7 linked regions of the Macaca mulatta genome follow. The protein of the gene in region 6 interacts with the protein of the main gene of each other region in a pairwise test. Links are inferred from orthologs where the notes say so. Each region holds a gene or a part of one and is shown on either strand. Other genes may lie near its edges.

Region 1 (4,273 bases), on a different chromosome or scaffold from region 6:
ATTCAGAAGAATGTTAAGAAGCAATGCCATTAACATCCCCATACTATTATCTTGAACACGATGATCCTTCAACATTTTTGTCTGTATATATGTTTTTAAAAATAAAATCAGGATATCATGTATACTAGTTTGTGTACTGATCATTTTGATCATTTTCACACACATTTCCCTGTATTCTCACCTAGTCTTTGTGAATTTGATCATGTAGCACTTGGGTATGTTGATGAAGCATATGTCATTTATTTAACCTATCAATTTGAGCTTTGGAGAAGAATCAAGTATCAGATACAACTGTGATGATCATGCTGATATAATTTCAACCCCAGAGCTAGCTCACACACATGCAGACGTGAAACCCAAGTAAGTTTCTAAGGCCAGTGGTTATTCTGGTGGAGAAGGTTAAACCCAGCATCAGGTAACCGGTCCCAACGGAAGGGGACAGAGGCCTGGCTAGTAGGAAGCGAATGGGACTTGGAACGAGTGGACGGATGGAGGCCAATTAGCCCTGAGGCGTTAGGAGCTGCCCATCCTCTGCAGTCTTGGCTTCCTTCCTGGTGAAGTGGGGACAATACCGGCGCCAGTCTCATCTAGGGCCGAGCTCCTCCAGGCCCCAGAGCCTTTGCACGGGTCGTTTCGTCTGCTGAAGGTGGCTCTGCCCTTCTCTCCACCTGGCTGCCCGTGTTGCTGAGGCTCTGGGCCCAGCTGTCCTTTGCTGTCCTGCCCACCAGGCCGGAGGGGTGGCCGCGGGGGCTTCTTCACAGGCCTCATCGCAGGGTTGTCTCCCCAGTGCAGGGCAGGCAGGAGAGGCTCCGACCGCAGGTCCGGGGTCCAGGTCTTCCTTGGCTACTGCGTTTGAAGCAGGGGCTCCCTTCCCTTCTCCATCTAAGTCCTCTAATCACGCCTCTCCCAACGCTTATGATCATAACCTGTCATTATTTTGTCTATTAGCTGTTTCCTTGACTCTTGTCTGTCTTCTCCTTTCATTAGGACCCGCTTGCGTCTTGGTAGCCGCTGTATCTCCTAAACCCCCAGGCCTGAGATATAGTGGGGGTCCCATACAAGTTCATGAAATGACTAAGGAGAAACAGCTGTGGAAACACCAGCTCTGAGGACGCAGTGGGCCTGGGGCTGGGCGGACCCCAGGCTGCGGACGGAGGCGGGACGCAGGGGCGGGGTTTCGGGGCTTCGGGGCTTCTGAGCTGAGCCTAAGGGGCGGGACTGGGGCTTCAGGGCGGGGCTTCGGGGCTGCGGTCTTGCGGTCTTGACCGCGCGGCTCCGGCTGCGCTCGCTCCTAAGGCCGCCCGGCTCTCTGGCTTCCCGCCCGCGCTGCCGTTAGGGGGCGCCCGCGCTTGTGGCGCTACGGCTCTGCTGGGAAGGCGCCGCCCGCGCCGGGCAGCTGGAGCCGCAACTCCGGGCGCGGGCTCAGTCGTCCCTTCTGCCGCCGCCGCCGCCGCCGCCGCCGGGCGCGGGCTCGCTCGTCCCCGCGCTCGCGCTCTCCGGCCGCGGGCATCTCCCGGCCCGGCCGCCGCCGCTGCCGCCGCCGCCGCCGCCGCCGCGCAGTGAGTGGGGCTGGCTTGGGGCTTGCGGGGCCGGGGCTTGGGAGGGCCGGGGCTTGGGAGGGCCGGGTTTCGGGAGACGTCTGCGCGGAGCGGCCAGGGGAGCGGGGCAGAGGATTATCTGGGCGGGGGCTCCTGGAACCGGGCGGTGGCGGCGGGGCCGCGTTGAGGGGACCGCGCGTCCCGGGGCTGGCACGAGCCGGCGGCGGAGGTGCCCGCGGCGGGGCCTGGGCGGGGGTTCTGGGGTCCGCCCGCGGGGATGCGCGGTTTCTGCGGGCCCGGGTTCGGAGCTCCGCGGAGCGCCCCTCGTCCGGGCCCGGAGCATCGCCCGCCCTACCCCTGGCCGGGTCGGGTTTGTGGGGGTTTCGCTGGTGGGGCAGCAGCGAAGCACGGCCCGGACGGAGACATTCGGGGTGTGCTCGAAAATGATTGTTTTTGGGAGATTGCGCTTATTAGCCACCAATTGCCCTAGTTTAAAGCGTGAGCCAGGACTCAAAACCCTGGCTTTGGGATTTTCTACCCTGAAGAGACACTCAGATTGCAGCTGAGTTCTTTATGCCTAGATTTGTGTGTGTGGTGGCGTTTTTAATGCTTGATGTCAGAGGTGATAAATGGCTGTGGTAATGGGGAGCCCTGGCAGCACCTGCTGGGCTGTCAGTGGTGGAGGCTGTGTCTGGGGGTGGGACGGGGAAATGAAACGTGACAGAGATCCTGTTTGGATATTCTGCTGAAGTTATCATGTTTCTGTTCAAGTATACCAGTTCTAGAACAAGTTGATGGATCCAATTTTAGGACTTTGTGATAGAAGAGGTTTGGGTGGCAAAGTGACCTGGGATGACCCGGCTCGGCTAAGAATATTTGGGGTAGCCTAAGCATCTCTTCCATATCCCCCTGGCATGTTCTTTTTTTCGCTGTCACAAATGCCCTATTACTTGAATCATCCTGGGATAGGAGAGAAGCTTGGGGACAGCATGTAGCACAGTCCTGAGCCCAAGATTGAGATGTTTTCAAATGAATAAATATGTAGCTAGGAAAAGGAAAATGGTTTTGTCAGCAGGGTTGGTAGGTTGAGAGAATTTTCTCTTTGGCCGAAAACCATCAGTCCATAAAGATACTTGATTTTGTGCTATGCTTTAGATATGAACGATGGAGTGGAGTGGTCAGGACAGCCACGGATGCCATCCCAAAGTTTTGTGATTTGAATTTTCATAAATCATATTTTAACCAAAGCATTACTACTTACAGAAATCTTAGGGTGAACCCTATGAATCCTTCGGTGCGTTTGGATTTTGATATTTGGGGTCCATTTAAAATGGAGTACATGTATGTATTTGGATTCAGCTTTACCTTGGAGATAATCCTGAGTCATGCTTTAAGGAAGTTCCTTCTGAGATCAGGAGCTCAGATGTTGGGTGATCTCTGGGAAAACTAGACACTCCCCTTTACCTGTATGTAGTTCTCCCTTCTGGAGCTGTGGGAAAAAGAGGACCCGGGGAGATTTAGAGCAAATTAAGAGGCTGCCTCCTCCATATTTGCCGTCTCCAGGCCAATGCTCTAAATTACTTTGTTCACACTCAAGTTTTTCATGTTAACATAGAAATTTTGTTTATGCTGCTGCCACTAGTGTTTTCACGTTTGTCTAATACTTGCCAGTTTACAGATGGTTTTATATTCATGATCTCCTTTATTTTCTCCATTTCCCCAAAGAAGAAGCTGAGCATAAAGAGTCATTTTCTCAGGGTCTCATAATCAGTAATGGAGCAAAATTCGACTACAGGACCTCCCTGGGAACCTGTTCTCTTTCCTTGTCCTGTGATGTGTTACTCTTATAGGCCAATTTTTGCTTTTGTGTAGTGCCTAAATGGTGTAATTACTTTTGGGAAGATGGTATTAGCCCATCTTACCTTTCGGAAACTGAGGGTTAAGAGGAGTGTTACGATTTTGTGACAGCTTTTTAATATTAGGTCACTTTTAAACCTGTAACTCCTCTCTTCTTGACCACATGGTTGAGAGAGGAGAAAGAGAAAATGATTACTTTTAGAGAAAAATCCATTTCTGCAGTGGTATGGTTAAGGATAATGTAACACCATAATCACATTATCCTTGTATGCCTGGCTACTTGTGCTGGCCTGTATGTGAATGTTAACCCCAAAGGCTCCTTTAGATGTCGCTGAACTAGTTACTATAAAAAGTATTTCACTTTCAAACTCCCACATTTCAAGAAGAGCAAAACTCAGTAAAAAGGCAATTTTGAAGGTAAGTATAGAGAGAGGGAGTTTATTGAGTCTTTTCTGACTACCAGACACGAAGGTTTCATTAAAAACGCATTTTAAAGGGCTGCCTGGAAACTCTGGGAAGTCAGTAGTTGGAAGTTTTTATTTTTCATTGAAGTTCGGAGGTTTTTATTGCAACATATAGGTAGTTATACAGGATTAGGACTTTTGCCCTGGAGAATTCTTAATCTATAGCAAGAATGATAAACCCAGAATATTGTTAGGTTGGTTCATCGTAACCATGAGGCCTGAAATTGCAATTCTGCAGTGACAGGGAGAATGGCATTTAAGGGTTCTTAGGTTACTTTTTTAAGTTATTAACTTACTGAATTATGTATTCTTCAGATATACTACTTTAGAAAATTAATATTTTCTTTTAAGGCTTCTGTAAATTCTTCAGTATGTGTTTTCTTAAGCTTAATTACCTGCTAACATGACACTGTC
Region 2 (3,500 bases), on a different chromosome or scaffold from region 6:
TCCTCAGGTAATTCCGCCTTTTACACACTGTATTCCCAGCTTCAAGGCCTGTAGTTCTTTTTTCTCAGAGGGCCTGGAATTGGAAAAGAGATGAGGAATTAAGAGATCACAGCGGCCTGAGCTGCAAATCCTGCCTAGGAGCACACCTGTCCTTTGAGGCTCATTTCTCTTCATCCTTTTGCCTCTCTGTTTTTAGGTATCAAAGCTTGAAAGAGAGAAGACTCAAGAAGCGAAGAGGATTCGTGAGCTGGAGCAGCGCAAGCACACGGTGCTGGTGACAGAACTCAAAACCAAGCTCCATGAGGAGAAGATGAAGGAGCTGCAGGCTGTGAGGGAGAACCTTATCAAGCAGCACGAGCAGGAGATGTCAAGGACGGTGAAGGTGCGTGATGGAGAGATCCAGAGGCTCAAGTCTGCTCTCTGTGCTCTCCGTGATGGCAGCAGTGACAAAGTAAGGACAGCGCTCACCATTGAGGCCCGGGAGGAGGCCCGGAAACTGTTTGATGCAGAGCGTCTTAAGCTCTTACAGGAAATTGCGGACCTGAAAACGGCCAAGAAGCAGGTGGACGAGGCTCTGAGCAATATGATCCAAGCAGATAAAATCAAGGCTGGGGACCTTCGGAGTGAGCATCAGTCCCACCAAGAAGCCATCTCGAAGATCAAGTGGGAGTCGGAACGGGATATTCGGAGGCTGGTTAGTACAGTAATCCCATCAGACCCATGTAGAACCCGTCTCTTCCAGGTTTCAGAGTGCTGTGGGATTTGCTTCTTCGTGTGTTTTCTTGTCAGTGGATTGTAAACAGTGCCTACCTTTTGTCCAGTGCTCTATCCAAGATAGCTCAGTATGTAGGTAGGTAGATCAATAGAGAGATATGCTCCGGCCAAAATTGATATTGTAAAGTGTAAGAGATTTTGGAAATCACCTTTCTCATAAAAACTGGATTCTCCAAGGACCATATATACAGAAAGTATCTCCAAGGACCATATATATGGAAAGGACTCCTGTTTCCTTAGATATTTATAAAAATATTATAAATCATGGATTCTTCTAAAGTCAGCATGTTTTTGTGGGCTTTTCCTTTACAGAGTTTTATGGTTTCTTTGTTTGTTTTTATAGAGGGTAGGAGAAGTTTCTATGACTTTCATGATGTCTGAAAACGGCAGCTACTGAGAACATCTTGAGTCTTTTTTTTTCCAAAAACCGTGACTGAAAAAAGATACAAAACTATAAAATCCCTAGTCATTTTAAACATAGATATTTTTCCCAAAGTATACAGGAGTCATTTAAAACAGGAGGCATTATAATTTTTAAATTGTCATCCCTAAGTAGGTTGTTTGCTATTTATAGTTTCTAAGACTTACCTCAGCCCCTACAGAGTTGGTCTTTCCTTCTAACATGTTTGACCAAAAACCAGATAGGCCTCTCACTATGCTTAACTATAATACAAATATAATTATCACATGAAAATTAAATGTCCTAGGTTGACCTGGTTTAATTATTTTAGACCAAAAAAATTTATGTTCATCTGCATTCAGATGTTTAGCATCTGTTACATCTTACTTTAATGTTATCACATCAACTATCACCTGTTAGAATGTACTTTATGTTTCTCTGGAAGTAAGGTTTTTTTCATGAAAAACTACACTTTTACTTTTTTGTCTTCCAGTTCTAAGCAATTACTTTCTGAGAATTCTAATTATGTTCCTTGGGTGATATCTCTAGGCTTTTAATTTTAAGTTCAAAGTGGTTACCACAGAGCATTTTTAAAAGTTAATGCTTAATTTTCTTTGTACTGCAATACAGTGTAACTGTAAAATATTGCCTTTGCCACATTTTCTGAATTATTTATGTCAACTCATTCTATTGCACTGTTTGACAATAAAGACCAAACACAGTGCAGAAATATTGGTCTCTGCCCTGCCTTTGGTTTTTGAAACGACAGTGGCTGATGAAGAATCAGGACTTCGAACTCTGGAGCTGGCAGGTAAGTATCCAATGAAAAGGCAGCTTTGCATTAAGTATTTTCATTTGTTGACGGTTTTCAATATAAAGTCTATAAGTATATCCACTTGATCTGCTAATTTTTTCCACGACTTCCTTTCACCGGCATATTGCCGAAGTAGGCATGAAATCCCTCTTAATAGCAACGTGAAGGGGAGGGGCCAAGATGGCCGAATAGAAACAGCTCAGGTCTGCAGCTCCCAGCGAGACTAACACAGAAGGCGGGTTATTTCTGTTTTTCCAATCGAGGTACCAGTTCATCTCACTGGGACGGGTTTGGCAGTGGGTGCAACCCACAGGGAATGAGCAGAAGCAGGGTGGGGTGTCGCTTCATGTGGGAAGTGCATGCAGCCAGGGGACCTCCTTCCCCCAGCAAAGGGAAGCAGTGAGAGACTGTGCTACCTGCCAAAGGTACTACGCTTTTCCCATGGATATTTGCGATCCACGGATCAGCACATTCCCTCATGAGCCTACACCACCAGGGCCCTGGGTTTCAAGCACACATCTGGGCAGCTGTTTGAGCAGGCACTGAGCTGCAGGATTTTCTTTTTTTCATACTCCAGTGGCGCCTGGAACTCCAATGAGTCAGGACCACCGTCCAATCTCCTGGAAAGGGGGCTGAAGCCAGGGAGCCAAGCAGTCTCACACAGCGGGTCCCAGTCCCACTCCCACGCTCCCATGGAACCCAGCAAGCTAAGAAACACTGGCTTGAAATTCTCACTGCCAGCACAGCAGTCCAGAGTCAGCCTGGGATGATCGAGTTTGGTCGGGGGAGGAGTGACCATCATTACTATGGCTTTAGTTGGCAGTTTTCCCCTGACAGTGCTAACGAGACTGAGAGTTTTTTTGGACTGGGTGGAATTCACCAGAGCGGCTGTGACCAGACTGCTTCTCTAGAGTCCTCCCCAGTAGGCAAGGTCTGTCTGCAGGAAATCCAGCAGCTCCATTCAGGGGCTTACAGACAGGACAGTCATCTCCCTGGAACAAGGCACTTGAGGGGAAGGGCGGCTGTGGTAGCAGCTTTGGCGGATTTAATCTTTCCTGCCTGCCGGCTCTGAAGAGAGTGGCTGATCCTGACAGGGGAGATTCTCCCAGCACAGCGCACCAGCTCTGCTAAGGGACAGTCTGCCTCCTCAAGTGGGTTCCTGACCCCTGTGCCTCCTGACTGGGAGAGACATCGCAGCAGGGGCCGACAGACACCTCACACAAGAGAGCTCTGGCTGGCATCAGGCCAGTCCCCCTCTAAGATGAAGCTTCCAGAGGAAGGAGCAGGCAGCAATCTTTGCTGTTCTGCAGTCTCTCCACTGGTGGAACCTAGGCAGTAAGGGTCTGGAGTGGACCTCCAGCAAACTCCAGCAGACCTGAAGAAAAAAGGCCTGTTTGAAGAAAAACAAATAACAACAAACAAAACTAAAAAAGCAACAACATCAACAAAAAGACCCTCCCACAGAAACCCCATCCAAATGTCATCAGCCTCAAAGATCAAAAGTAGAGAAAT
Region 3 (4,279 bases), on a different chromosome or scaffold from region 6:
TACTGACAGCCAAGCGCTCCCCTCACTCCACCAAAAAAGAGGGGTTGTTGTATGTGTGTGTATACATTTACTCAGTTCAATTCCAGCTTAACACCACTGGGTATTAACTGTGTATATGATACTGTACTACAAGTTGGGACTTCAACATAAATTAAATGATACCCGCCTCTAAGATGAATAAAAGGACATGGGCAAATACACAACTAGCCACAAGTCAGCTGTTGTGTTATAAGCAACTGTGCTTGAAGTAAATTAGCTAACCCCAAGACAGAAAGCAGCATATTCTTAGGATCCACTAATGATGCATTATTAAGACCAAACTCTTCCAAGGACTTGGGAGTAAGCTATGGCTCTGTTCTTTTCCAGCTGGCATTTTTTAACATCCCCTTGATGGCTTACATGTGTTGGAGCTTGCTGCAGCGGTGCTTTGGTCACAACTTCAGGTCTCATCTCCATCAAAGAAAATACTTGAAAATTATGCCTGTTCACCTACTTATGCTACTGCTGTACATCTGGCAGATTTATTCCTGCTACTTTCTTTATGCGACATACGGCACCCTAGCTTTTTTATTCTCCCCTTTGCGGACCTGGTTGACACTGCTGACACCTGTTCTCATTCGTTGTGTGTGGACACTGAACTCCGCCAAGCTTGGAATCTTCATGGTGCAGTTAAAAAGCCACCTGAGCTCCTGAAGGCCATGTCTCACCACTGGCAGCTGGGCAGAAGCCCAGCCTCTGTGTCTGTAGCCTAGGCCTCTACCCCAGTAGCAGGTGGAGGGCCAGTATTGGTGCGTGAGCTTTAGGGAGCTGCTGCTCGTTTGGACTCCTGGATGTTGGAGGGATTACCCACTACTGATACCTGCAGAATGGACTGCAGAAAAGTCTCAAAAATAATGCCTTTATTCCTTCCCTCCTCAAGGAGGCAAAGAGTTGATTTATCTTTGTGAAGAGAAAACCCTTATCTAGGACACCCACAGGGTAGGGGTTGGGTGTGTGTACGGGAGTGTCAGAGGCCCAGTGTGTTTTTTAGGGGTTACCCCATGTAAAGCACCTACCGCTGTGCTTGAAATTCAGCAGCTGTCAAAGGTGCAATTTCAAGGGCAGGGAACCTTTGAGGATCTGGGCCCGACCCTGACCACGGCTGAGATATTAGTTCCCAGGCCTGTTTTCCCGCAGGATTGTGGGCTCTCTGCTTCCTTAGTCGGAAGTGTTTTCAACTAATCAAATAAATGAATGAATGATGAATAAGAAAGACCGTGAGCCTGAGCCTTGCTCGTGTGGCCTCGCTTAAGGGGCGAGAGAAGGCGTGGCTTGTCCTGGCCTCTGGGATGGTTGGTGCTGGACCTCTGGGGACAGGGCGGGGCGGGAGGAGGCGGGGCCAGGCCTGGTCTCTCATAATGGGATGGGTGGTGCTGGACCTCTGGGGGCGGGGCCGGGCCTCTGGGGCGGGGCTGGACGGCTTGTTGCCGGAAACGAGCCATTGACGCTGTGGCCCGGAAGTGGAGCGGCTGTCGCAGTGCGGCTCCGGCAGTGGTGGCGGAGGCCTGTGTTTGCGGCCTTCGGCAAGCGACTGAGATGGCGAGCGCAACTGCACCTGCAGCCGCAGCCCCCACCCTGGCTCCACCTTTGCAGCAGCTCCGGCACTTGGCGGAGGAGCTGCGGTTGCTCCTGCCTCGAGTGCGGGGTGAGCTGACGGAGTTGGAACGCGCGACGGCAGGGGCGGGCTCGGGGAGAGGCCGGGATCGGGGAGAGGCCGGGCTCGGGGTCGCGGAGAGGGCGGGCTGGGGCGGCGGCGGCGGGGAGCCAGGCTCGGGCGAGGGAGGTAGGTCCGCTTACCTTAGCTTTTCCACTCGCCACCATTCGGCCCCCACACGCCACACCCGCAAGTCGGCGAAGCCCAGGAGACCACCGAGGAGTTTAATCGAGAGATGTTCTGGAGAAGACTCAGTGAGTGCGCCTCCTGTCCCGGCTCCCCTTGCCTCAGTTCCTTCAGCGTCCCGACCCCTTTCCCTCTCGCTCTCCCCCAGGGAGGGGACTGCCCTCCCCTGCTGCATCCTTTCTGTGAGATACCTTACCCACCTCAGCACCTGAGAGGGTAAACTAGAATTCTAACATCGACATTCGGGAGGTGTTTTTGAGAAGTCTGGGTCGGTAAGGGAACGCGTATCTTCCAAGTCCGTGCAGCGCTAATGTATTGGCACCTGCCTTCTCTTCGGCCACCCCCCAGATGAGGCAGCTGTGACAGTGTCAAGGGAAGCCACGACTCTGACCACAGTCTTCTCTCAGCTTCCACTGCCGTCTCCACAGGTGGGCTTCACTTTCCTGGAATCCTTGGGCTGCCGAGTTACACCTTAGGAATCCTCTAATTTTCTTTCCACCTTTTACACGCATGCCAGGAGATTTGTTTTCTTCGTCTGTCCAATGAGGTTACCGTTTTTTACTTCACAGGCTTGTTGTGAAGACCGAACTGCCAAGTGCATTTCCTGGCGCGGAGTAGGCAGGTCTTATAAATATTGGTTCAATCTGAAGTTCACCCTGGTGGTTTCTTTTCTGATAATTTTTTAAGCACTTTTTATGTGCTGGGTGTTTTCACATACTTGATGGCCATCTGACAGATGAGCAAGCAGGCTCAGAAGCTCAGGTTAAGATTTAAAAAAAAAGCAGGGGAGCTAGAATTTAAATCAAGGTCTATCTGATGTCTAAGGTACACCTATTCTGTTATACTACATAATACCCTTTTTATATTATTTTTTATATTTAATCAGTAACCTATGCAGATAGTATAAAATTCAAAAGATATCAAAGTTAAGTGTGTTAAGTTTATCCTTCCATCCACTTTCTCATTTTTGTCTCCCCCAGTTCCTTTTGCATTATTCCACATACATTCTGTACATATATACATTCATAAACATTTATCTTGTATGTGTCAGCTTCTTTTTACACAAATGGTAAGATACCATAAACACTGTTCTGGACCTTCCTTTAAATAAATTAACAATAGAGCTTAGAAATCAACTCTTAGCAGCTAGTATAAAGTTGTTCCGTTCTTTGTAATGACTGCATGGTATTCAATAGACTAGATATAAACATAATTTAACCATACTCTATGTGGACATTTAAGCTGTTTCCAACTTAGAATTACTGCAAACAGTGTTGTGATGAATTACGTAATTCTGTGTATGTATGTATATCAGTAGAAAAAATTCCCAGAAGTGGAATTGCTAGAACAAAGAATTTATGCGTTTTAAATATTCCTTTATTATTAAACTAATGAAAGTAAACATGTTGGCTGTGACCACGTATGCTCTATGCTTAGTTTTTTCTAGAGCTGTGTATCCTTAATATGGGAGTAAGATTCCTTTAAAATGGCATATTCATTGCCTTATTTGATTTTCATAGTCAATAGTTTTAATTTCTCAGTCTACATATATAGGTGTTTGGAAAGAATATAGGTATCTTCTGCTGCATGTACCTACAGTGATAAACTCTCTCCTCCTCACATACCTTTGAGATTTTTTTTTTTTTTTTTTTTTTTTGAGGCAAAGTCTCACTCTGTCACTCAGGCTGAAGTGCAGTGGCACAGTCTCGGCTCACCGCATCCTCTGCCTATGCGGTTCGAGCAGTCCTCCTGCCTCAGCCTCTCGAGTAGCTGGAATTACAGGCACCCGCCACCATGCCTGGCTAATTTTTGTATTTTTAGTTGAGACGGGGTTTCACCGTGTTGGGCAGGCTAGTCTCGAACTCCTGACCTCAAGTGATCTGCCTACCTTGACCTCCCAAAGTGTAGGGATTACAGGCATGAGCCACCGTGCCTGGCCTACCTTTGAGATTTGTGATGAGGAAACAAGAGATGAATTGTATGACGGCACTTTAAAAGATTCATGGAAAATAGACTATTTCAAAAAGAATAGTTAATATTATCTTATTTTTCTTATCTGCTAACCCCTTTCTTTCAAATACACTTAGGACTTGCTGCTAAAACTCACTGCAAGTAAGATACCACAAGGAGGCAGCATAGAACTGATTTTCTATACATGCTCAGGACAGTAGTTTTACTCATAGATGAAAAATTAGAATTTGGATTTATTTGAAATATATACAAATATTCAAGTATATACATATATTCAAATAAATACATATATGTATATATGTGTGTATATATACACATACATACACATGAATCATCATTGCCTTCTTGAGATCTCACCACTTTAGTCCTACTAAAAGATGGGTGGGTTTTTTTTTGTTTTTTTAAAATTCCAATCTTCATGGAATGATA
Region 4 (4,221 bases), on a different chromosome or scaffold from region 6:
CTTCGACCTCCCAAAGTGCTGGGATTACAGGCGTGAGCCACCGCGCCCGGCCGCGTTCCATATTTTTATTTATTTATTTTTAACAGCTTCGTAGAATAAATTAGCGTCCCGCATTTTCTTTTTCCTTTGAGACGGAGTCTCGCTCTGTCGCCTGCCCAGGCTGGAGTGCGGTGGCGCAGTCTTGGCTCACTGTAACCTCCGCCTCCCAGTTTCAAGCGATTCTCCTGCCTCAGCCACCTGAGTAGCTGCGACTACAGGCGCGTGCCACCACGCCTGGGTAATTTCTTGTATTTTTATTTTTATTTTATTTTTTTTGAGACGGAGTCTCGCTCTCTTGCCCGGGCTGGAGTGCAGTGGCCGGATCTCAGCTCACTGCAAGCTCCGCCTCCCGGGTTCCCGCCATTCTCCTGCCTCAGCCTCCCGAGTAGCTGGGAACAGGCACCCGCCACCTCGCCCGGCTAGTTTTTTGTAGTTTTTTTAAGTAGACACGGGGTTTCATCGTGTTAGCCAGGATGGTCTCGATCTCCTGACCTCGTGATCCGCCCGTCTCGGCCTCCCAAAGTGCTGGGATTACAGGCTTGAGCCATCGCGCCCGGCCAATTTCTTTATTTTTAAAAAGAGATGGGGTTTCACCGTGTTAGCCAGGATGGTCTCCATCTCCTGACCTCGTGATCCACCGGCCTCGGCCTCACAAAGTGCTGGGATTACAGGCGTGAGCCACCGCGCCCGGCCTCGTATTTTCATTTCTTAAATCCGGCACCCTTACCCACAGGCCTGACTCTTGTCTTTTCCTGGGGTTTCATCTTCCTGGCCTAGCCTAGAGCCCACTATTTACAAGGTGCTCAGTAATTGTTCTATGTGAATTAACTATCTGCATGCTGTTTTGTATGTTTTTTACTCATCTGAAATTTACATGTATTTATTAGAAATGCCCACACCCACTAAAAACACTTGTTAAAGACAATTTTTGAAAATATATTATATTGCCAAAACTTCTTTGTTTTCCGTTCCTGCAAAATTGGTATAGTAGGAGTATCTTCCCTTATCACATTTTGACAATTAGAAGAGTTAATGGAAAAGTAAAAGTAAAGTTTTGCATCGTGCCTGGCCCACTAGGCGCTCAATAATTTCAGTTCTGTATTAAATGAAGCCTGTGCACCATTTTAGAGCAAAGCAAAAAAAGCGCGTTTGTAAAGAACGGGTGGGGGTAGGGAAAACGGTTAGAAAGGTCCGCCGACCCAACACGGAGGGCCCGGGAAAAAGGGAGGAGAGAAGAGTGAGTGACAGAGGAGGCAGCCAATGGGGAGACTGGGAACTACTTCCCCCCTCCCTTTGCGTTTCAAATTCTAAGCTCCGTTTCCATCCGGGTCCTTCAGCCTCGTTCCCGGGCAGTATAAAGTTTGCTGTCTCCTTTGTTCGCCCTCGTTGCGCAGTAGTGCTAGCGGCTTCGCGGTTTGGTCCTCCGACGGAGCAGCCGCCACTGGTGCTGAGCTGCTCGGAGGCCCGTGTCGGCGAGCTCGTTGGAGCTTGAACCCATTGTCACCCCTCCGGTACGTGTCTCCTTTCCTCAGTCCGTTTTTCGTGACACTCTCGCCGTGTTAGGACTGGGGATTATATCTCCCTGGAGATGGGGGTGGCGGGCGCCATTTTAAGAACCCAAAGGTTCCGACCTATTTAAATAAAGCAGAAGGGGTCGAGGGAAAACAAATGAGGGGGCCCGTTTGGTTGTATGCCTCTCGAGAAAGTTTGGCTGCCGCCTGCGGGAGTTGGTAGCGGAGGTCGGGGCTTTGTAGGCTGGAGCGGGGCGAGGAGCGACCGCACCACCGCGATACCTGCATTGGTATGGCGCTGGCGCTAATGATGGGCATGTGGACTTCCATGCGGGCTGCGGGCTACGTATTCATTGGCGGCCCCGGAGAAGAAGCCCTCTGAATGTTCCCAGCCAATGTTGGTGGTAAAAGTTAGTCCCCTGACCAGTGTCAGTGGTTCTGGGTTGAATCCAAGTGTCGCCATTTTGTCTTTTACACGCGGTTTTTAATGACGAGTTTTAATTAGGTTCCGCTGCAGTCACGGAGTGTCGAGTGTTAGTGTGTGCGTCCGCGTTCCGTTACTTAATAGGAAACGAGGTTGACAATTTGTTTTTATCTTTTTGGCTGGATAGTAGAATTTTAGGTAGGGCGGGGGCCGGTGGAGAAGAGGCGGCATAACTTGGCTCAAACTTCACATTTCTCCTTGGATTTAGTAGGGAATTCTAAATAGGAAAAGAGGACGTTGGAAGAGGGCTTGGTGTTAAGGTCCTGTGCCTGGCCTGTGACCTTGGGAGTCTTTTAAAACCCCATCGTTAGGAAGGGCGTGATGAGTAATTGAATCTTTCAAAGGCAACAGAACTAGAACTAGAAGTTGGTTTTTCAGATGTTAAGCAGCTGTTGCTTAAGAACAGCTATGGGTGGTCAAGGGTAGTGGTGAGAGTTAAACTGGCCCTTTTAACCAGTTTTATGTAAATTGCATTGTTACTAATCTACTTAATTCAAATTGCTTCCTACTGTGACTGAGGCTTAGTTTGTTATCCCTTTCTTTAGTTATTAAGAAACAATGGTTTTAGTGGAAAATATGAAAAATGTGCCAAAGTAAAAGTGTCCAATAAACTTGAGGAACTTTTTGCAGTGAGGTAATACTATTCCTTTTCAACAGACTCACCGGCAAAAAAAAAAAAATGGTTGAAGCAGATCGCCCAGGAAAGCTCTTCATTGGTGGGCTTAATACGGAAACAAATGAGAAAGCTCTTGAAGCAGTATTTGGCAAATATGGACGAATAGTGGAAGGTGAGTTGTCTGGCAGTACAGGCTGGGCTATGATAATTAAAATATAAGCTATGATGAATTTGATTGCATTGATCGTCTGACATGATAATGTATTTTGTCCTCTAAGAAGTTCTGAGCTTTCTGTTTACACATTTACTTTGGTTATTTCATTTGAACTAGGGTAACGCTTTATTTTTCTGAAAACTACTTTTTAGTACTCTTGATGAAAGACCGGGAAACCAACAAATCAAGAGGATTTGCTTTTGTCACCTTTGAAAGCCCAGCAGACGCTAAGGATGCAGCCAGAGACATGAATGGAAAGGTGAGATTGTCTACCCAATGGATGATAACCTGTTAACAGTGCATAACATAACATAGTTGCCCAAGTCTGGTCTAGGGCAGCTTTTGAGTTTTCGTCGTTTTTCAGTATATACCTGTCTGGGACTCATCCTGTTTGTGATCCCGTTCCAAAGAGTATTCTGTAATTGCAGAACCAAATCTGGTAGTGAGTTATATCTTACGCTGTTAACATTCTCTCGGTTCAGAATAATTATGACATTACGTGATACCTTTTTTTTTTTTTTGGTAGTCTCCCTCTATCACCTAGGCTGGAGTGCAATGGTGTGATCTGCCCACTGCAACCTCTGCCTCCCGACTTCTAAATGATTATTCTGCCTCAGCCTCCCGAGTAGCTGGGATTACAGGCACGCGCGACCACACCCGGATAATTTTGTATTTTTGGTAGAGACGGGGTTTCACCATTTTGGCCAGGCTGGTCACAAACTCCTGATTTCAGGTGATCCACCCGCCTCAGCCTCCCAAAGTACTGGGATTACAGGTGTGAGCCACTGCACCTAGCCAACATGATACATTTTGTCTTGAGATCCATAAACCATATTTTGATAACTTGGCTTTTAGTTTTGATAACAAACTGATACCTACTTGGCCTTGTTTTAAATTTTACCATACAGTAATGCAGTGGATTCACGTTATGTTTCAATCCAGACCATCAGTATCATTTTCAAGTATTAAGAATTTTAAGTGGAAAAGCCCCATTTAACTGGCTATATTTGCAGTGTTTTTTCTTAGACTAATTAGTGAGCAACACTTATCCATAACTGTATTTTGAAGGACCCGTTAGTGTCTTAGTGCATAGTAGATGTGCAAATTGTTTAAATCTTGATTTAACCATATCTTTTTTTTTTAGTCATTAGATGGAAAAGCCATCAAAGTGGAACAAGCCACCAAACCATCATTTGAAAGTGGTAGACGTGGACCGCCTCCACCTCCAAGAAGTAGAGGCCCTCCAAGAGGTCTTAGAGGTGGAAGAGGAGGAAGTGGAGGAACCAGGGGACCTCCCTCACGGGGAGGACACATGGGTAATAACTTGCGTAGACCTCGGGTTTGGTGTGTAAGTTAG
Region 5 (3,500 bases), on a different chromosome or scaffold from region 6:
CATTGCACCATAATCTCTCCATTCTTGAAAATGTTCTCTGTATCCAGCTTGATTTCCTTGTCTGTGTCTTCTCTACCCAGAAACTTATTATTTATTATGATTTGTCCTATTTCATTGGCCAATAAGAAAAAATTGTCCCCTGGCAAATTTATCATTAAGAGATGATGTAAGAAAAATTACAAAAATATAGAAGCCAGAAGATCTCTATGGTCTTTGCCCCACCCTTGTACATTCCAAGGCTTCCTTTCTTGTTCCCAGCCTCTTCCTTTTCTTGTCTCCTACCTCTTCTGAGTTGGAGCAAACCTAGGATATCATTATGAATAACAGAGGATTCTGTTGTGTTGTTATTTTCTTTTCCAGGCTTGGGTTTGGATACTTCTCCAGTAATGAAGACCCCTCCCAAGCTGGAGGGTGATGCTACTGATGGCTCCTTTGCCAATAAGCATGGCCGCCATGTCATTGGCCACATTGATGACTACAGTGCCCTGAGACAGCAGATTGTGGAGGGCAAGCTGCTGGCCAAAAAGATAGTGTCTCTTGTGAGGTCAGCGTGCAGCTTCCCTGGCCTTGAAGCCCAAGGCACAGAGGTAATCACACCTGTAGCTTTAGATGCACTGTTTCCTTGTGCCCTTTCTTCCTTTGATGGTAACTCCTTCTCCCACCATTTTTGTTTTTGTTTTTGTTTTTCGTGCTTTGCATCTCTCAACAGCTGAGGCTTCCTCTTCCATGTACAGCAGCCAGGCCCTGTCTTCTCTGTCTCCTATTTTCACTGTCAGTTCTGCTCTGTTCCAGATGTAGCTGACTGGATATTTCCCCTCAGCCCCACAGAAACATGTGGCATTGCCTAGCAGCCTTTGGGAGCTTTTTTTTTTTTCCTCTTTTCTTGTTTTTATTATTATACCTTAGGTTCTAGGGTACATATGCACAATGTGCAGGTTTGTTACATATGTATACATGTGCCATGTTGGTGTGCTGCACCCATTAACTCGTCATTTACATTAGGTATATCTCCTAATGCTATCCCTCTCCTCTGCCCCCTCCCCACAATAGGACCTGGTGTGTGATGTTCCCCTTCCTGTGTCCAAGTGATCTCATTGTCAAGTTCCCACCTATGAGTGAGAACATGCAGTGTTTGGTTTTCTGTTCTTGAGATAGTTTGCTGAGAATGATGGTTTCCAGCTGCATCCATGTCTCTTCAAAGGACACGAACTCATCCTTTTTTATGGCTGCATAGTGTTCCATGGTGTATATGTGCCACATTTTCTTTTTTTTTTTTTTTTTTTTTTTTTGAGACGGAGTCTCGCTCTGTCACCCAGGCTGGAGTGCAGTGGCCAGATCTCAGCTCACTGCAAGCTCCGCCTCCCGGGTTCCCGCCATTCTCCTGCCTCAGCCTCCCGAGTAGCTGGGACCACAGGCGCCGCCACCTCGCCCGGCTAATTTTTTGTGTTTTTAGTAGAGACGGGGTTTCGCCGTGTTAGCCAGGATGGTCTCAATCTCCTGACCTAGTGATCCGCCCGTCTCGGCCTCCCAAAGTGCTGGGATTACAGGCTTGAGCCACCGCGCCCGGCCATGTGCCACATTTTCTTAATCCAGTCTGTCACTGATGGACATTTGGGTTGATTCCAAGTCTTTGCTATTGTGAATAGTGCCACAATAAACATACATGTGCATGTGTGTTTATAGCAGCATGATTTATAATCCTTTGGGTATATCCCCAGTAATGGGATGGCTGGGTCAAATGGTATTTCTAGTTCTAGATCCTTGAGGAATCGCCACACTGTTTTCCATAATGGTTGAACTATTTTACAGTCCCACCAACAGTGTAAAAGTGTTCCTATTTCTCCACATCCTCTCCAGCACCTGTTGTTTCCTGACTTTTTAATGATCGCCATTCTAACTGCTGTGAGATGGTATCTCATTGTGGTTTTGATTTGCATTTCTCTGATGGCCAGTGATGATGGGCATTTTTTCACGTGTCTGTTGGCTGCATAAATGTCTTCTTTTGAGAAGTGTCTGTTCATATCCTTTGCCCACTTTTTGATGGGGTTGTTTGTTTTTTTCTTGTAAATTTGAGTTCTTTGTAGGTTCTGGATATTAGCCCTTTGTCAGATGAGTAGATTGCAAAGATTTTCTCCCATTCTGTAGTTTGCCTGTTCACTCTGATGGTGGTTTCCTTTGCTGTGCAGAAGCTCTTGAGTTTAATTAGATCCCATTTGTCAATTTTGGCTTTTGTTACCATTGCTTTATGCAGGCACATGACCATCTGTGGGCAGAGTTGACACAATGGGGTGGACAGAAACTGAAGGATTTGCAGGTGTATGGCCCCCACATGTGGAAGGGGTGAGAAGCCTGGCAGCCATGGCATTTCCTTGTGCAGACTGCATAGAGGGAGGGAAGGCAGTCAGCAAAGCTTCTCAGAGCGCCTTGCCAGTGAGAGAGACCAGGCACCAGGGCTGTGCTGTCTGAGCTGCTGGAGACCCATGGATGCGTAGGGACAGCCCTGCCTCCACGGAACCCCACACTAGAGGGCAAGACACACACACAAGTAGATCAGCACAGTAAGGGGCTACAGACACAGCATGAGAAGCCATCCTCTGTGCTGTGAGGCCGCCAATGCAAACGTGGTCATTTATCTCAGGCAAGGAAGGTAACAGGTTCATAGAGGACACAGCAAGGGGGGTGAGTTTTGAAAGCCTTGTGGGTTCTGCAGGTGGAGGGAGGCATACCTGGTAAAGGGACCAGCACCTTAGTTCTGAGAGCTGCAAATGGTTGTGCGAGGGCTTCACAGTTCAAGCAGGCCCATGTTCTGTGCCTCACTCACAAAGGAAGCGGGAGCCCATGCAGGGGGAAGAAAGTAATCTCTCCGCTTCTGTGGTGTTACCTTTCCCCAGGTGATGGGCAGCAAAGGCATACATGAGCTTCGGAGCAGCACCACTGCCCTGCACCATGCCCTAGAGGAGTCGGCTTCCCTCCTCACCGTGTTCTGGAGAGCGGCCCTGCCAAGCACCCACATCCCTGTGCTGCCTGGCAAAGTGGTAAGATGCCAGTGTCCTTTCTTGGTTTGAACCCAGTTTTCCTGCCCTCCAATACTGTTCTGTCTCTTCAGTGTCACAGCTTTTCAAGAAAATCGGGAGCCACATAGTGAATTGGGATAGACAGGACCTTAGAGGAGTGTCCCTGGAGGGACATCTCTGACCCATGGTGGCTGCTTTCATTGCAGCTGTAAATACATCCCATTCCCCACCAACCCCCTGGCCCCTGGATAAAAAATCAAGAAGAGGAAGGGGTGTGGAGAAGGCGGAGACATCATAACCCTGGCAATCCATAAAGGTTCAGTTTCTTTACCTCTCTGAAGTTTGGCTGAGCTGAAATTCAGTTAAAGCTTCAGCACCCACCTCCCACCCCTCAGGTCCCACGGTCACATGATCACAGAATGCCCCCATGAGACTGAGCCTTTTCAGCCGCTGCCTGGAATTCCAGCATATCACTTCAGCTGGCAT
Region 6 (3,500 bases):
GTATGAGTCTGAGCGAGCACTCGGGGACGGCGTGGCTCCCTCGCGTATGAGTCTGAGCGAGCACTCGGGGACGGCGTGGCCGCTTGGCTGCCCGTAAGGCCCCAGCCCTTTCCATCTTGTTGGTCGGCCACCTGCCTCGTGGTGCGAGGGGACTGCCCCACGTCCAGCCGTCGCCTCTGCATTCCCACCAGCAAGGCACTTCTTTTTTTTAAGAACATGTCACTGCAGCTCACATTTTACAGACCAGAACTAATTCCCCTGGTCACACCTAGCGGTAAGGGCGGCTGAAAAATGGAGCCTGTATGCTGGTGCCCGTATGCCAGGCTACAAGCCAGGGCTTCAGTTACTAAAGGAAGAAGGGGACGTGGGTGTTAGGGCCAACCAGCAGAGTCTGCCTCCCGTCTCACCTGACACCCGCCTGTCCCGTTTACCCTAGACATCATCCATAAGTTCATCCGGGATAAGTACTCGAAGAGATTCCCTGAACTGGAGTCCTTGGTCCCCAATGCACTGGATTACATCCGCACGGTCAAGGTGAGAGCAGAGGAGGAGCGGTGCTTCTGCTGGTGTGAAGGTGCAGGCAGGGCTCACTCTTGGACCCGCCCCCAGAGGCCTCGGGGTCTGGAGGTGAAGGAGAGGAGTGGACGGAGGCTCAGTGGCCTGCTCTGCCCAGGGTGAGAGGGACGGAGCCTGGATGGGACTTTCTCAGGGCTCCCCTCGTACCCCAGTCTCCCGAGAGGGCTTCCCCGCTGGCCTGACCCGCGCTGCTTCCGCTGTGGTCGGAGCCGGTGGCATTGGAGTTGACATCCGAAGGTCGTCACAGGGCAGGCACGCGGAGATTTGGGGGAGAGAGATGTGTTAAGTATGGAGAGCCGGAGAGGGAACAAGCGGGGAGGAAGTGAGGCGGGGAAGGAGGGGACGCGGAAGAGGTCGGATCACACTGAGCCTTTGGGTCTTATGAGAAAGCCAAGGAAGGGTTTCGGAAAAGAGGGGCGGATGCAGGTGAGGGCAGGGAGAGGAGGCGGTCCCCACGTGTGTCCGGGAAAGGATCAGGATGGTGGTGGGGGAAGCCCCCGCAGGGAAGCGAGGCCGCGGGTTTGTGCTCCGACTCGACACAGGCAGAGGCTTGTGAGGCCGCGGTCTTCCCAGACGCTGCTCTGCCCAGGTTCCGTTTCCAAAGCAGAGCAGACGGTGTGGATGCTTCAGGCGGTGGAGGCAGGAGAGGCCCCCAGTGTAGAGACCCTGACTTTCCCAGTGTCCCCGAGAAGAGACCCGAGTAGGTGCAGGGCCAGAGAGGCTCTCAAGCCTTCCTGAGTTCCTGAGCCTCCCCTGTCTTCTCTGCTCGCGCCCAGGAGCTGGGCAACAGCCTGGACAAGTGCAAGAACAATGAGAACCTGCAGCAGATCCTCACCAACGCCACCATCATGGTCGTCAGCGTCACCGCCTCCACCACCCAGGGGTATGTCCGCTGGAGGGAGGCGCCGGGCCCGGGCCAGTGGGACTGGGGATTAGGCTGAAGCTACCCACGCAGGTGGGCATACACACACACGCACACACACACACACACACACACGTGCACACACACACAACTGAGAGGGTGGGTGCTGGGCACCAAGCAGGCGGGAGACCCAGGAGGCTGGGCCCACCCGCCCCTGCAGGCAGCAGCTGTCGGAGGAGGAGCTGGAGCGGCTGGAGGAGGCCTGTGACATGGCGCTGGAGCTGAACGCCTCCAAGCACCGCATCTACGAGTACGTGGAGTCCCGGATGTCCTTCATCGCGCCCAACCTCTCCATCATTATTGGGGCGTCCACGGCCGCCAAGATCATGGGTGAGGCCCTGGGCTGGGTCCCATGGAGCGGGACTCTGCTGACACTGTGATCTGGGGGAAGCTGCTTCCCTTTTCTGTAGAATGGGGACTTTGGCACCTGGGCCTCAACACCCCGTCTCCCTGGACGTGACAGAGGTCAGCCAGCCTGGCACACAGCAAAGCCTCGTCTGGGAGAAACACTCACCCACAGCTCCTCCTCCCTCCCCTGTGCCGGAAAGCCAGAGATGACCACACCCAGGCCCTGTTGTCAGGGGGCTCCTGGTTTGGTGAAAATGGTTCCAAAACACAGACATCCCTGGAATGGGGGTAGTGTGGCTTAGCACAAACGTGGTGGTCAGTTGCCTGTTGGGGGCCTCCTCCCTGCACCCCAGGCCAGCTGCCCTCCCTCTCTGAGCCTCCTTTGCGTCTGCCCCTCGCGGAATGGGCCAGGTCGCCCGCCTGGCAGGGCCACCGAGGAATCCAGCCAGAACCTCACGTAAAGGTGCTTGGCACATGTCGAGCCCCCAGGCAGATGTGCGCACCCCCGCCTCCCCCGCTTTCTTCTGACCGCCCCTGTCCTCCTCCCACCGCAGGCGTGGCCGGCGGCCTGACCAACCTCTCCAAGATGCCCGCCTGCAACATCATGCTGCTCGGGGCCCAGCGCAAGACGCTGTCGGGCTTCTCGTCTACCTCAGTGCTGCCCCACACCGGCTACATCTACCACAGTGACATTGTGCAGTCCCTGCCCCCGGTGAGCCCACCGCGTCACAGCCCCTCCCCCGGCTCCCCTGGAGCCTTCCGCCTGCCCAGACGGCCTGAGCAGCCACCCCCACCATCTGGCCCAGCTGACAGTAGCACTCAGGAGCCGGGGACAGGGTAGCATGGGATGTGAGAGCCAGGGTTCTGCAGCACACCTGTCGGGTGACTGTGGGCAAGAGGCGTGAGTGCCCTGTGCCTCAGTCTCCTCCCCTCGAAAATGGGAGCACAGCGCCTGCTTCACGAGTTGGGGCGAGGGCTCCATGTAGACGAGGCCCTCACAAGGCAGGCCTAGCTCACGACAAGCAGCGTCGGGTTAGCAGCTGCTCCGAAGGCCACCGTCACTGGAAAGACACGGAACCCCTGAGGGCTGCTGTGCTGGGGACTGTATAACAGATTAACATTAGCCACAGGGAGAGACACACAGGAGGAGCAGGAGAGGTCACCAACCTCGGAGGGCGATGTGTCCTCTCCCCGCAGTCAGGACACATCACCCTCCCGGCATCGATGCCTGACAGCACACACAGGGCCGCCAGCCTCACACCCGTAATCCCAGCACTTTGCGAGGCCGAGGCGGGAGCATCACTTGAGGCCAGAAGTTGAAGACTAACCTGGGCAACATAGTGAGACCCCGACTCTTTTTTTTGTCTTGATTCCAATGGGATTGGAAACACCCTGTCTCTACAAGAATAAAAAACCCGGTGTGGCAGCGCTTGCCTGTCATCCCAGCTACTTGGGAGGCTGAGATGGGAGGATACTTTGCGCCCGGGAGGCGGAGGTTGCAGCGAGCCAAGATTGCACCACTGCACTTAAGCCTGGGCCAGGGACGCTTGCCTGGGCCGTGGTGTTCAGTCTTTATTGTGGCTCTGCTGTGTAGACACGACTGTGTTGCCGTGTGGCTGGTCTGTCTCCAGGTCAGGTGATGCCCCATAACTCA
Region 7 (4,293 bases), on a different chromosome or scaffold from region 6:
TTTTCTGTTTCTTTCCTGAGTATATACTATGTGTCAGGCACAACGATTCTACATGTCACTAGGAATACAGAGATCATTAAGACACAGACACCATTCCTAAGCAGCCCACATTTAACTGGGTACACAAAAATCGTTGTTTTAATTCTTTTTTTTTTTTTTTTTTTTTTTTTTTTTTGAGACGGAGTCTCGCTCTGTCACCCAGGCTGGAGTGCAGTGGCCGGATCTCAGCTCACTGCAAGCCCCGCCTCCCAGGTTCACGCCATTCTCCTGCCTCAGCCACCCGAGTAGCTGGGACTACAGGCGCCCGCCACCTCGCCCGGCTAGTTTTTTGTATTTCTTAATAGAGACGAGGTTTCACCGTGTTAGCCAGGATGGTCTCGATCTCCTGACCTTGTGATCCGCCCGTCTCGGCCTCCCAAAGTGCTGGGATTACAGGCTTGAGCCACCGCGCCCGGCCTGTTTTAATTCTTAACAACTACTTGACGGTAGACTTAAGTATATGACTCCAAGTCCCGTGCTCTTTTTACATTCCAAGAATTGCCTCTTGGATCTTTTCATCACATAGAGCAGAGAGAGAAAAATTAAGCAAAAATTAACAGCTAACACTTTTTGAGCACCTACTGTTACCAGGTACGGTTTTCATTGCCTACAGTTTTATCTTATTGAATCCTTAACCATTTTGCCGAAGAGAAAACAGGCTTAGACGTAATGACTTGCCCAAGGTCCACAGCTGCTAAATTGCAGAGTCAAGGTTGGAACTCCAGAGCCTGTGGACACTTAAATGTCTACACGGAGTCCCTGGGCTAGTGAGGGCTTCCCAGGGAGGGCCCATGACTGTTCTGCTCATTGTATCACATTGGCCTAGCAGCACAGGTGAGGGGCACTCACTATATTTTAATTCGATCAGTGAATACATGAATGAATTTACCAGCCTGCTGGAAACGAAGAGAATGGAAACATCTCCTGGAGAGAATACTTGGGAAGTCTAGAGTTTGCCCATTCATTCCTTCATTCCCTCTTAAACTCCTTCATAAAGGCCACTGCCCTGTGCCCACGACAGCGTCAGAGACACAGGAGTCACAGTCTTGACCTTCATTATTCCCATTTGAATGTTGTGTCCCAGGCCCCTTATTGTCTCACAGTATTTACCACAACTACCCTATGGGCTAATCCTACATCTCTTATTTTACAGATTTACACTCTCAGTGGCAAAGTCTCCTTAGGCCAAGGTGGCTCAGCGGATTCCACATCAGTCATCACAGGCTGAGCGTCGGACTACAAAGCAGGCGCAGCACCGAGGCCGACTCCACGGGAAAACCACTCCCCAGCCATTCTAGACCTTGCAAATCCACCCCTCCTCTCTAAGATCCCAGCCGGCCGCTCTACAGCCATACCCGCCGTAGCGTTCCACGCTGCCGCGGCAGCCAGTAGGACATCCGCTGTCGACTAACGTCATTTCCGGCGCGCCAGCCACGCTGCATCCGGGTTCTGGCGTAGGAGCGGCGGTCTTCTCGCGCGGATTGTGAAGCTGAGTTTTGGTACGCTGGACCCTCGGAGAGGTGAGCGAGGCTGGCTACGAGGGGACTCAGCGCCAGTGGGAGTAGGGGCGAAGGTTCGGGGAAGGCGAGCTGCGGTCCAAGCCGTTGGGGTGTGGGGAGGGGAATCCATTTCGTAGACAGCTCTGCCGAGGCACGGAGAGGGGCGGTGCTGCTTGGGGTCTACTGGAATTTAGGGCTTGGGTTCAGTTAAGAACCTGAGCCTCCTTCGCCAAACCTAGACAGCAAGAGAGAGACAAGCCCGAGGCCTGACTTCTAGCTCTCCTGAGTTTGAGCCCTATGAGCAGTGGAACCTAAGGTAAGTGACTAACTTCTCTGAATCTCCTTTTTCTTATCTGAAACATGAAAACTAACGGTACCTACTTTGCAGAAGTGTCTTGATGCGGACAGTTGATAATCGGTCTCAAGCGACCAGCATGTACCTAGCATCTACTGATGAGGGCTTCATAACTTGTGACTACTCACTCAGGGCTTATTACCACCTACTATGCCCACGGAGGCAGTGGTATTATTTAACCTTATGTATTTGAGAGTCCCCACCTTTTCCGAAAACCCTTCTGTCTTAAACACTCCTGGAAGAGGTTGGGACCAGCTGCATCCAAACAGTGCACCAGTGAGTAGAAGAGGGCAGAGATAACGTTTTGCCAGAGGTGACCAGAGTTGGACACTGCCTGTGGAAGTAGTGAACTCCGTGTGCCTTAAGGCCGCTTTCAGCAAGACAAGAATCACAATTGCTCTCACCTGTTGAATGTATTATTGTGTAGTGCACCATGCTTGGCGCTTCGCGTGCATTTAATTCTCATACACTGAGTATCTGATAGAGTTGAATTTGAACTCAGGCTTCGATTTTAGCGTGCCAGATTTTAGAATCACTTTGCTAAGTTTACACCCTAGTGCCATAATAGTAATGATGATTGTGATGGTTAATACTGAGTGTTAACTTGATTGGATTAAAGGATAGGAAGTATTGATCCTGGGTGTGACTATGTGGGTGTTGCCAAAGGAGATTAACATTTGAGTCCGTGGGTGGGGAAAGGCAGACCCACCCTCAATCTGTGTGGGCATAATCTAATCAGCTGCCAGCACGGCAGGAATATAAGCAGGCAGAAAAATGTGAAAGGAGAGACTGGTCTAGCCTCCCAACCTACATCTTTCTCCATGCTGGATGCTTCCTGCCTTCCAACATTGGACTCCAAGTTCTTCAGCTTTGGAAATTGACTGGCTCTCCTTGCTCCTCAGCCTGCAGACAGCCTATTGTGACACCTTGTGATAGTGTGAGTTAATACTTAATAAGCTCCCCTTTATATATATATGTCTATTCCATTAGTTCTCTTCCTCTAGAAAACCCTAATACAATGATTAACCTAATCATGGGACTAAAGTAGAAGCTGTCGTTTCTTGAGCACTTATTTTGAACTCATTGAATTTGCCTTATAAGCATTCTCTAAGGTTGGTATAGTAGTTTATCCCAATTTAAGAAATACAGCTGAATTTGCTCACCCAGCTACCATGAGGTAGATTCTCTATATCAATCCCTGGCCATCTGACTATTAAAATAGTGTTCATAATTACTACAGTCTTTCAGCTCATCAGAAGAAATTCATGTGAGGAAAACTGAAAATGTTGTTTCATCAAGTAATGTATTTCAAAAAGCATGTTCTAAAAAAAATCACTCCTAGGACCACCAAGGATCCAGATATAATTCTTTCCTCAGTAATAGAAAAAAGAATCTGGGATCTAAGAAGATAGCCACTCATTTTCTAAGGCAATAGTGTACAAAATAACCTATTTAGTTATTTTTGTGTGGTTTGTGTATGTGTGAATATGTGTGATATTTATGATATTGGCTAGGACAAGGAAATATATACTTTTAAAGAATCATAGATGGTTGGGACTAGTATTTTGTTCACCTGTTTTAGTACTGATTGTTTTCTAAAAGTAGGTTTTTAATATTTTCTTTATTGAATAGTAATGCCAATTTTAATGGACTTTGAATTCAGAGAAAGTTCTGAAGGCAGCAAGGAATAGAGACTCACAAGGAATCCTCCTACTGCTGCCCCCAGAACTTATGGCCTGTGCCCTTTTTGTCTCTTTCTTTAGCGACTGGCCATGTCATTGTCCCACTTGTACCGGGATGGGGAAGGCCGCATTGATGATGATGATGACGAGCGGGAGAACTTTGAGATCACTGACTGGGATCTCCAGAATGAGTTCAACCCCAACCGACAGCGCCACTGGCAGACCAAGGAAGAAGCCACCTACGGGGTGTGGGCAGAGCGAGACTCGGATGATGAGAGGCCCAGCTTTGGAGGCAAACGGTACTGCCTGGCATGGGGGCTGCTTCACCTTGCTTTAGGGAAGAGGGGGAAGATGGGCAGGGAGTGGAGGAGATACCGTGATAACTATACTTGTCTCCTGGCCTTGTTGAGACTGTTAGCTGTGACATCATCTCGAGAGGTCTGGTTTCCTCTTTAGGCTAGAGTGCTGCTCTTTCACTTTTTTATTTATTTTATTTTATTTTATTTTATTTTATTCTATTTATTTATTTATTTATTTATTTATTTATTTATTTGAGACACTGTTTCACTCTGTTGCCCAGGCTGGAGTGCAGTGACATAATCTTGGCTCGCTGCAACCTCCACCTTCCGGATTCAAGTGATTCTCATGCCTCAGCCTCCCGAGTAGCTGGAATTATTGGCACACGCAACCACCTCCAGCTAATTTTTGTATTATTAGT

What was found.
Region 1: the proteins of PRPF31 (region 6) and KCTD6 interact in binary tests that used the Homo sapiens proteins (3 or more experiments, as listed by UniProt). The two-hybrid records come from large-scale screens. The link is inferred for Macaca mulatta from reciprocal best matches to the Homo sapiens genes PRPF31 and KCTD6.
Region 2: the proteins of PRPF31 (region 6) and JAKMIP2 interact in binary tests that used the Homo sapiens proteins (3 or more experiments, as listed by UniProt). The two-hybrid records come from large-scale screens. The link is inferred for Macaca mulatta from reciprocal best matches to the Homo sapiens genes PRPF31 and JAKMIP2.
Region 3: the proteins of PRPF31 (region 6) and CCNDBP1 interact in binary tests that used the Homo sapiens proteins (3 or more experiments, as listed by UniProt). The two-hybrid records come from large-scale screens. The link is inferred for Macaca mulatta from reciprocal best matches to the Homo sapiens genes PRPF31 and CCNDBP1.
Region 4: the proteins of PRPF31 (region 6) and RBMX interact in binary tests that used the Homo sapiens proteins (3 or more experiments, as listed by UniProt). The link is inferred for Macaca mulatta from reciprocal best matches to the Homo sapiens genes PRPF31 and RBMX.
Region 5: the proteins of PRPF31 (region 6) and myomegalin interact in binary tests that used the Homo sapiens proteins (3 or more experiments, as listed by UniProt). The two-hybrid records come from large-scale screens. The link is inferred for Macaca mulatta from reciprocal best matches to the Homo sapiens genes PRPF31 and PDE4DIP.
Region 7: the proteins of PRPF31 (region 6) and TFIP11 interact in binary tests that used the Homo sapiens proteins (3 or more experiments, as listed by UniProt). The link is inferred for Macaca mulatta from reciprocal best matches to the Homo sapiens genes PRPF31 and TFIP11.

Annotation. Positions count from the first base shown.
Region 1 is NC_133407.1:122,078,723-122,082,995, forward strand, and holds the start of KCTD6 (BTB/POZ domain-containing protein KCTD6), read left to right. Parts: upstream 1-1,473; 5' UTR 1,474-1,559; intron 1,560-1,745; exon of another isoform or gene 1,746-3,812; intron 3,813-4,273. UniProt on the Homo sapiens protein: Probable substrate-specific adapter of a BCR (BTB-CUL3-RBX1) E3 ubiquitin-protein ligase complex mediating the ubiquitination and subsequent proteasomal degradation of target proteins.
Region 2 is NC_133411.1:156,547,899-156,551,398, reverse strand, and holds part of JAKMIP2 (janus kinase and microtubule-interacting protein 2), read left to right. Parts: intron 1-196; coding exon 197-694; intron 695-3,500.
Region 3 is NC_133412.1:20,576,697-20,580,975, forward strand, and holds the start of CCNDBP1 (cyclin-D1-binding protein 1), read left to right. Parts: upstream 1-1,479; 5' UTR 1,480-1,575; coding exon 1,576-1,684; intron 1,685-1,887; coding exon 1,888-1,947; intron 1,948-2,227; coding exon 2,228-2,307; intron 2,308-4,279. Other genes in the region: TMEM62 (transmembrane protein 62), read left to right, coding at 367-693. UniProt on the Homo sapiens protein: May negatively regulate cell cycle progression. May act at least in part via inhibition of the cyclin-D1/CDK4 complex, thereby preventing phosphorylation of RB1 and blocking E2F-dependent transcription.
Region 4 is NC_133426.1:143,221,444-143,225,664, reverse strand, and holds the start of RBMX (RNA-binding motif protein, X chromosome), read left to right. Parts: upstream 1-1,421; 5' UTR 1,422-1,633; intron 1,634-2,579; exon of another isoform or gene 2,580-2,602; 5' UTR 2,603-2,713; coding exon 2,714-2,822; intron 2,823-2,869; exon of another isoform or gene 2,870-2,941; intron 2,942-3,016; coding exon 3,017-3,123; intron 3,124-4,008; coding exon 4,009-4,180; intron 4,181-4,221.
Region 5 is NC_133406.1:119,875,563-119,879,062, reverse strand, and holds part of myomegalin, read left to right. Parts: intron 1-360; coding exon 361-587; intron 588-2,891; coding exon 2,892-3,035; intron 3,036-3,500. UniProt on the Homo sapiens protein: Functions as an anchor sequestering components of the cAMP-dependent pathway to Golgi and/or centrosomes.
Region 6 is NC_133424.1:66,351,068-66,354,567, forward strand, and holds part of PRPF31 (U4/U6 small nuclear ribonucleoprotein Prp31), read left to right. Parts: intron 1-431; exon of another isoform or gene 432-436; coding exon 437-534; exon of another isoform or gene 535-621; intron 622-723; exon of another isoform or gene 724-1,352; coding exon 1,353-1,459; exon of another isoform or gene 1,460-1,658; coding exon 1,659-1,828; exon of another isoform or gene 1,829-2,123; intron 2,124-2,400; coding exon 2,401-2,558; intron 2,559-2,721; exon of another isoform or gene 2,722-3,174; intron 3,175-3,500. UniProt on the Homo sapiens protein: Involved in pre-mRNA splicing as component of the spliceosome. Required for the assembly of the U4/U5/U6 tri-snRNP complex, one of the building blocks of the spliceosome.
Region 7 is NC_133415.1:25,044,238-25,048,530, forward strand, and holds the start of TFIP11 (tuftelin-interacting protein 11), read left to right. Parts: upstream 1-1,493; 5' UTR 1,494-1,559; intron 1,560-1,777; 5' UTR 1,778-1,854; intron 1,855-2,753; exon of another isoform or gene 2,754-2,830; intron 2,831-3,235; 5' UTR 3,236-3,321; intron 3,322-3,656; 5' UTR 3,657-3,665; coding exon 3,666-3,874; intron 3,875-4,293. UniProt on the Homo sapiens protein: Involved in pre-mRNA splicing, specifically in spliceosome disassembly during late-stage splicing events. Intron turnover seems to proceed through reactions in two lariat-intron associated complexes termed Intron Large (IL) and Intron Small (IS).